Callithrix jacchus: one gene and its partner. Each later gene encodes a partner of the first gene's protein in a complex. Links are inferred from orthologs where the notes say so. Each region holds a gene or a part of one and is shown in the gene's direction. Other genes may lie near its edges.

The links.
Region 2: the proteins of SLC9A1 (region 1) and CHP2 are in contact, whole or in part, in a crystal structure (PDB 2BEC), measured with the Homo sapiens proteins. The link is inferred for Callithrix jacchus from reciprocal best matches to the Homo sapiens genes SLC9A1 and CHP2. Residues at the interface, in NP_003038.2 of Homo sapiens: Ser517, Ile518, Asn519, Glu520, Ile522, His523, Thr524, Gln525, Phe526, Leu527, Asp528, His529, Leu530, Leu531, Thr532, Gly533, Ile534, Glu535, Asp536, Ile537, Cys538, Gly539, His540; in NP_071380.1 of Homo sapiens: Arg30, Arg34, Leu38, Leu51, Ile54, Ala56, Leu57, Asn60, Pro61, Leu62, Ile66, Phe70, Phe83, Leu87, Phe90, Tyr118, Ala119, Leu122, Tyr123, Met136, Val139, Leu140, Met143, Ile156, Arg159, Thr160, Glu163, Ala164, Phe177, Ser180.

The regions. Positions count from the first base shown.
Region 1 is NC_133508.1:63,755,530-63,759,330, reverse strand, and holds part of SLC9A1 (sodium/hydrogen exchanger 1), read left to right. Parts: coding exon 1-121; intron 122-2,736; coding exon 2,737-2,826; intron 2,827-3,297; coding exon 3,298-3,368; intron 3,369-3,481; coding exon 3,482-3,655; intron 3,656-3,801. UniProt on the Homo sapiens protein: Electroneutral Na(+) /H(+) antiporter that extrudes Na(+) in exchange for external protons driven by the inward sodium ion chemical gradient, protecting cells from acidification that occurs from metabolism.
Region 2 is NC_133513.1:24,356,630-24,361,169, forward strand, and holds the start of CHP2 (calcineurin B homologous protein 2), read left to right. Parts: upstream 1-1,507; 5' UTR 1,508-1,579; coding exon 1,580-1,646; intron 1,647-2,218; coding exon 2,219-2,291; intron 2,292-2,404; coding exon 2,405-2,485; intron 2,486-2,634; coding exon 2,635-2,762; intron 2,763-2,944; coding exon 2,945-3,006; intron 3,007-3,756; coding exon 3,757-3,879; intron 3,880-4,084; coding exon 4,085-4,138; 3' UTR 4,139-4,540. UniProt on the Homo sapiens protein: Functions as an integral cofactor in cell pH regulation by controlling plasma membrane-type Na(+)/H(+) exchange activity.

The DNA.
Region 1 (3,801 bases):
GGGCCTGCGAGGGGCCATCGCCTTCTCTCTGGGCTACCTCCTGGACAAGAAGCACTTCCCTATGTGTGACCTGTTCCTCACTGCCATCATCACCGTCATCTTCTTTACCGTCTTTGTGCAGGTGCTGGGACAGAGCAGAGCAGGCCCTTGCCTTGGGGACCCTGATGCTGCTCCCGTGGAAAGAGAGGAAAGCGTGTGATTTCAAATGTGATTCTAGTCCCAGCTCTACCACTAACTTGCTGTGTGACCTTGGGCAAGCCACTCCCCTTTTCTGGGCCTCAGTTTCCTCAATGGTAAAGTGAGAATTGTGATGAGTCATTGCAGAGTGACTGATCAGAATGTAAAGGAACCAGAATGCTGCCCAACATAATTTTGAAGCCATGGTGCATTAAGAGAAGTGGGTATTGGCCAGGCGCGGTGGCTCACGCCTCTAATCCCAGCACTTTGGGAGGCTGAGGTGGGTGAAATGCCTGAGGTCAGGAGTTTGAGACCAGCCTGACCAACATAGTGAAAGCGCGTCTCTACTGAAAATACAAAATTACTGGGTGTGGTGATGCATGCCTGTAATCCCAGCTACTTAGGAGGCTGAGGCAGAAGAATCATTTGAACCCGGGAGGTGGAGGTTGCAGTGAGCTGAGATCGTGCCATTGCACTCTGGCCTGGGCAGCAAGAGTGAAATTCCATCTTCCAAAAAAAAGAGAGAGAGCGAGAGAAGTGGGTGCAGACAACAGGCCCAAGATCTCTCTTTGCTACAAACTCTTTGTATGGGTTTAGGCAAGAGATTTCATATCTTAGGTTCTCAGTTTCTGCATCTGTAAAATGGGAATAATATCACAGCATGGGGAACTGGAAAGGGCTCTGAGCCAGCAGCAGGAGGCCTGGTCAGCCCTAGTTCTGTGTTGTCTCTTTGACCCTAAGAAAGACCCTCCCTTCTCTGGGTCTCAGTTCCCATCTGTAAAGTGAGGAAACCGGGCGAGGTGATTCCCAAGATTCTTTCCAGTTTGCTGGTCAGTGATTTCTGTATATTTAAATGGCCCAGGCTTAGCTAAGAGCACTCTCCTGCCTAAGGTCCCCAAGGAAGCCCAGCCTGTACAGTAATCTGATGGTACAGATTACTCCACCTTACCTGACTTTGTCTGACCTTGGACAAATGAGAAATACTCTATCTGAGCCTCCATTTCTTTTCTTTTTTGAGCCAGAGTCTTGCTCTGTCACCTAGGCTGGAGTGCAGTGGCATGATCTCAGCTCACTGCAACCTCCACCTCCTAGGTTCAAGTGATTCTCCTGTCTCAGCCTCCCAAATAGCTGGGATTATAGACATGTGCCACCACAACCTGGCTAATTTTTATATTTTTAGTAGAGATAGGGTTTCACCATGTTGGCCAGGCTGGTCTCGAACTCCTGACCTCAGGCGATCTGCTCACCTTGGCCTCCCAACGTGCTGGGATTATGGGCGTAAGCCACCGCGCCCGGCCTGAGCCTCCATTTCTTTACCATCCTGTCTGTCTTTTCTGGGCACTAATCCTCAAAAAGCCCTAGATGGGATATATCTTTGCTTTCTCTTGAGAAAAATAGATAGGGGAAACCTGGGGCTGGGCTTATTTTCTGTCCTTTAAAAGGAGAGGGTGCCCTGGTGCAGTGGCTCATACCTATAATCCCAGTACTTTGGGTGCATGAGGCAGGAGGATCCCTTGAGCCCAGGAGTTCAAGACCAGCCTAGGCAACATAGCAAGACCTTGTCTCTACAAAAAATAAAAAAAATTAGCCAGGTGTGGTGGTGCACACCTGTAGTCCCAGCTACTTGGGAAGCTGAAGTGGGAGGATAGCTTGGACCCAAGAGGTTGAGGCAACTATGAGCCATAATTGTGCCACTGTACTCCTCCAGCCTGTGTGACAGAGTGAGACTCCATCTCAAAAAAAAAAAAAAAAAAAAAAAGGGAGAGGAGGCTGCCACTTTTGTTGTCTTGCCCTGCTTACGTCTTCAAAAAAATTTTTTTATATGCTAATGATTTTCCAAGCCCATTGAAGGCAGCATTGGGGAGGAGCCCTCCCTCCAGAGCCAGCCTGCCTGGGTTTGAATCATGGCTGTACTGCTTCTACGGGATCTTAGAAAGCCGCTTAACCTCTCTGAGCCTTAGTTTCTGCATCTGTTAAATAGGAACAAGGAAGGGTCTCCCACTTAGTGCTGTGGGTACTGGAGAGCTGATACTAGAAGACTTACAAGCGCATGCGTTGGTCACATGGCAAGCATGCAGTTGAAGCTGCTGCTGCTGTTATTACTGGGTCCTCCCAGCAGTCCTTGGGGGAAGGCAGTGCAGAGGTGGTTCTCCCTGTGTGGGGCCTGACCTCCTTGGGCTTGCAGAGCAAGTGTATGGTACAGTCCACATCTGAACCCAGGCTCTCTGCCACCTGGCCCAGGCCAGATGACCAGCGTGGGGGTCATTTGGTGGTCAAACCTCTGGCCATGTCCCCAGGAAGAGGCAGGCCTTAAGGACCTCACCTTGCATGGGTGAGGACCCTGCAAGGAGCTGGGAGAGACGAGGGCCTGGCAGGAAGGCAGGGTTCTCTAGATAAGTGCTGGGAGGTGGGGGAGTTCTCACACCCTTGGGTCCTGGGAGAGGGCAAAATAGAGAGGGCATCCTAGCCCTCGGGGCCTGGGGTGCGGGAGGGAGGCTCTGCGGCCTCCCTACTTGGGTAGCAGAACTGGAGTGCCTGACACCTGCCTGCCCCCAACAGGGCATGACCATTCGACCCCTGGTAGACCTGTTAGCTGTGAAGAAAAAGCAAGAGACAAAGCGCTCCATCAACGAGGAGATCCACACACAGGTACTGGAGTGCGGGCTGGGTCCTCGGTTGCAGGAAAAGGAGCGGGGAGCAGCTGTGCCTCATGTCCCTGCCCCCCATCAGCCCCTCCTCCCTGTGTTGGTGCCCAGGGGCTCCCTCTGCTCAGGAGGCCGCCAGGGTCTAGCCATAGGAAGGTGTGGTGTGAGCAGCTGGGAGCCTGAGGAGGGGGGCATCATGCCATCTCTGCTTCCATTTGAAACCAATGCCAGGCATGGGTCCCAGGTGGGATTAGAGAAGGGGGCTCAGCCGGAGACAGGTGAGGGTTTGAGATACCCAGAGTCAGGGCTAGTGGGTTCAATGAGTGGGGTGTGGACACCACCTCCTGGCTGCTCATGGAACCACAGGGCTGGACCCAGCAGGGCTGCAGCTCGGGGAGGAAGCAGGACTAGTCAGAGGTCTTGGTTGGGAAGGCGCCCCACAGCGAGGCTTGACCTGGCCCTGGGCCCCTTTCAGTTCCTGGACCACCTTCTGACAGGCATCGAGGACATCTGTGGCCACTACGGTCACCACCACTGGAAGGACAAGTAGGTAGCAGGCCTGGTGGGCAGGCAGGGAGGGGCAGGCAAGGGACTCCCCAGCCTGGGCATCTCCCCACTCCTGGGAGCTGGGTCCATCGTCTCCCTCCTCCTCCCACCAGGCTCAACCGGTTTAATAAGAAATATGTGAAGAAGTGTCTGATAGCTGGCGAGCGCTCCAAGGAGCCCCAGCTCATTGCCTTCTACCACAAGATGGAGATGAAGCAGGCCATTGAGCTGGTGGAGAGTGGGGGCATGGGCAAGATCCCCTCTGCCGTCTCCACCGTCTCCATGCAGTGAGTGCCGGGGCCACCCAGAGGGCTTCTCTCCCACACACCAGCCCGAAAGCCCAGCTGGGGGTGGGGCCCTCTGTTGTCTTATTGGGGTGGAGAAGAGAGCTGTGGGCTCGAACCAAGGACCTGAGGCTTTGTGCCCACCTGGG
Region 2 (4,540 bases), on another chromosome or scaffold:
CTCCTGACCTCAGGAGATCCACCACCTTGGACACCTAAGGTGCTGGGGTTACAGGCATGAGCCACCACACCTGGCCCCTTTTATTTTCTTTCTACTGTCACCCAGACTGGAGTCATCACGGCTCACTGCTCAAGAGATCTCCTATCTCAGGCACCCAAGTAGCTGGGACCACAGGCATGTGCCATGACACCTGGTTAATTTTTTTTTTTTTTGTATTTTTTTGTAGAGATGAGGTCTCACTATGTTGCTTAGGCTGATCTTGAACTCCTGGGCTCAAGCAATCTTCCTGCCCCTACCTTCCAAAGTCTTGGGACTATAGGTGTGAGCCACCATGTCTGCCTGAAATTTCAATATCACAGCTATATTGTACATCTATTTATGTGCTGTGTGTATGCTATGCTTTCTACATTAAAAAAATGTTCTATTTTTTTCCCCTGTGGGGTGTGATAGAGACCGCACTGAGAACGCATGTTTTACATAATTAGTTCACAACCTGCCCCCTGGCAGCCTCCACCACATAAAGTCAGAAGAAGGCAGCCCAGCAGGGCCGACAAGGAATGTGTGAACGGATGCATATAAAGTGCTTAGCAAAGCGTGGTAAACAAGAGCCCTTGCTGTTGTCATTCTTGCTTTAAGCCCAGTCCCAGTGATGTCTGTAACTCTCTCTTGGGCCAAAGAGTCCCGTGGCTCTGGAGGGCTGGTCACAGGACTAAGTCATTCCCAGTCTGGAGCGCTGTGTTGGCACTAGGTACCTAAGGGAGTGAACTGGGCTTGGAGGGACTGTGGCCAGAGGACAGCTCTGGGCCTGGTGGTGTCAGACTTGAGATTTGTCAGAAAAAGCCAGGAATGTGGATTTTGGGTTAAATCTCCTGAATGTTAAGCATTGGCTCAATTAAACAACAATGAGGCTATGTGGACCAAACAAAAGGGATGAAACTAAGATATACTGACTTTCCCAAAGTCAGGGGTACCGCTGGGATTCCAATAAGGACTCCCAACCCAGTGCTCTTTCCACTTAACCTAACGCACAGTTTTCATCTCACCGCTCTCCGCTTCAACTTCCCGGTTTTTGGGAGTCCTTCGATGCCTCTCCTCCCTTCCCCTAGGAGGCCACCCGCCTCCCAGCACGGCGTGGTCGCTACCCAGCAGGTCTGGTCTCCCAGGGCTTCCTGAGTAGACGCCGCCGGCGAGCGCTCTGGGGCTGGGAGAGTCCGGGGACCGCGAAGGAGGAGGTGGCTCGAGAGTCGGGCGGACCGTGGGAACCGGCCCCGGGCGGGGTAGGCGTGGAAAGGAGGGGCTCCAGCGTCGACCAGCCTCTCCCGCGCCGACCGCCAAATCTCGGAGCTGAAACAGCCTGTTGTTCGCAGCCGCCCTCTGACCCGCCACCCTGGACATTGTTTTCCATTCGCCCGGGTTGCGGGTGGGAGGCGAGGCACGTCGGGGTTCCAGAGCTTGGCGGCGCGCCAGGCTTGTGACCTTCATCCCCTAGGGCCACGGGGGCGGCCACGCCTTTCCAGCCGGAGGAGAGAACGCGTGGGGTCCGGGTGGCTGCTCCTGCCCTCCCGCCTCCAGCTCGGCCATGGGCTCGCGCAGCTCCCACGCCGCGGTCATTCCCGACGTGGACAGCATTCGGCGAGAGACCGGCTGTGAGTGCGCCCGCGCCGGCAGCTGCGGAGGGGACGGGACGAACCCGGGCGTCCGGGGCTGGGGATCCGAGGAGCTTGAACGCCGCGTAGAGGTCACCAGGGAAGGAGTTGGGTTGAGGGATGGACGAACTTACAAGTCCGGGATGCGGGGTTCCCCGGAGCTGGAAGACCAAGACCCCAGCGCCTGGGATCTCTGGGCTCCGGGCGGGTTAACCAAGGGGTCCCAGTCTCCAAGTCTGGGGAGGATCCAGGTTCACAGGGTTGGAGTCCAGACGAAACCAGGCCACCCAGGTGTCCTCGAGCCCGGATCGAGGCTGAAGACAGAGCTGACGGCTGATGGAAGGGATGGCTTCTGTACTTTGGTTTTCGGGACGTTGCGAGCCGCCCGAATCTCGAACCTGGATTTTTGCGGGGTCGTGTCATTCTCCCTCCACCCCGGCCAGCTCCATCCTCCGGGATGATTGTCCCTTCCAGCCACCCCCCATTGTCCCCGGCCCACCTTCCCAGCCGATTGAGGCGGGTTTCTGGAGCGCGCCCCGCAGTGTCACCCCCCACCCCATTGCCTCCCGCAGTCTCCCAAGCCAGCCTCATCCGCCTGCACCACCGGTTCCGGGCACTGGATAGGAACAAGAAGGGCTACCTGAGGTAAGGAGGAGCCCACCGCATGACTTCTGGCCTCTGTCTCTCTGACTCCACGTCCCTCTTTGACCCTCCATCTGGCATCTCTGCCTTATCCTCTTTGAACTTTGACTTCGCAGCCGCATTGATCTCCAGCAGATAGGGGCGCTGGCTGTGAACCCCCTGGGAGACCGCATTATAGAAAGCTTCTTTCCCAATGGGTGAGGCCTGCTGACTTGGGGAGGTGGAGGTGGGAAACCGGTGTGTGAGTGGGTGGGAGGGGAGGTTAGAGACTTGAGGCAGAGTGATGGACAAGGTAACCACTACCCCCTTCCATTCTGCGCCTCTCCTCCCCGCCCTGTCTCCCCAGGAGCCAGCAAGTGGATTTCCCGGGCTTTGTCAGGGTCCTGGCTCATTTTCGCCCTGTAGAAGATGAGGACACAGACCTAGACCCCAAGAAACCTGAACCTCTCAACAGCAGAAGGAACAAACTTCACTGTGAGTTTGTGAGGACCCACCAAGGGAGAAGGCAGATGTACTCACACCAGGGACAGGCTCCAGGAATCTCCCACTACCTTCCTGAGCCCACTGGCAACTGCCCCCCTCCTCCAGGGTGGCCTCCTGCTGGAAGAGAGCCAGGGAAGACCCACCTTCCTTTTCCCCTCCCACCCTCTCCCCAGATGCATTTCAGCTCTACGACCTGGATCGCGATGGGAAGATCTCCAGGCATGAGATGTTGCAGGTTGGCAGAAAGCGAGGGCAAGAGATGTGATGCGTGAAGTGGGGGATGGTTGAATGCAATAGTGTGAGGGATGGGGTGGGATGACTGGGGAACTGGGGCACAGATGATTGGGGTATTGGTTGGGAAATGGGAATGGGTGGGGTTGGAGTATGGGTTTGTTGGAAGTTAGATGGGGAGCAGTTGACTATGAGGTTGGGAATAGATCAGTGATTCTCAACTGGGGGTGATTTTGCTTCTTGAGCAAACATCTTGCATTATCTGGAGATGCTTTATGTTGTCACAATGAGGGAGAGAATGTGCTACTTGGCATCTAGTGGTTAGAGATCAGGAATGTGGCTATATGTCATGCAATACCCAGGAGAGCCTCCCCCAGTAAGGAGCTATCTGGCTTCAAATGTCAATGGTGCCAAGATTGAGAAACTCTGGAACAGATGTGATGGAATGAGGATGGAATTACAAATCCTTAGTGGTTGAGGTGGCGAATGGTGTGGAGGATGGATGGAGGTTGGGTGATAAAGTTGGGTAATGAGTTTGAGCATATTTTGAGGGTAGTGTGGGATGGTGAGGGAGAGATAGATTAGTTGTTGAAGCAGTAGGGAAAATTATTGGGGAAATATGGTGAAAAATGTATGAAGGATGGATTATAAAATCAGTAATAACTTCTGGGATGAGGTGGACAAGGTTTAGGGGATGGGGGAGTAGCAACCTTTGTGCCCCGTCTTTATGGCTGCCTCTTCACTCATCTTCCAGGTTCTCCGGCTGATGGTCGGGGTACAGGTGACTGAAGAGCAGCTGGAGAACATCGCTGACCGCACTGTACAGGAGGCTGATGAAGATGGGGATGGGGCTGTGTCCTTCCTGGAGTTCACCAAGGTCAGGGTGCCCTTGTGGACTAGGGAGTGGAGATCAGGAGTCCCTGGGGCAGACAGACATGGGAAATGTTCAACGGAGGAGGGCGGAAAGATAGGGTACCTGGGAACGATGGGGTCTCTGGAATGAGTAGAACCCTGGGAGAGGAGGTTGGGAGCATGGAGAGTTGAGAGTCAAGCCTCTTACCTGCCATTCATTTCCCCCTCAGTCATTAGAGAAGATGGACGTTGAGCAAAAAATGAGCATCCGGATCCTGAAGTGACTCTGTTTGTGCCTTGGGTTTGCTCCTGCAACCAGTATCTGCTTGGAATTCATCCAAAGCCCCTGTGGACGCAGGGCACCCTCAACTGTATTCTTACTTCTAACTCTATTTAGGGCCAAAGAAAGCTGGAAGGATGTGTGCTAAAGTCTAGCTCAGCAGTCTCTAATCTTTTTGGCATCAGGGACAATTTTTCCACAGATGGGTGACGGGGGATGGTTTTGGGATGATTCAAGTGCATTATGTTTATTGTGCATTATTTCTATTATGATTACATTATAACATATAATGAAATAATTATACAACTCACCATCAGGTAGAATCAGCAGGAGCCCTGAGCTTGTTTTTCTGCAGCTAGATGGTCCCATATTGGAGTGATGGGAGACAGTGACAGATCATCAGGCA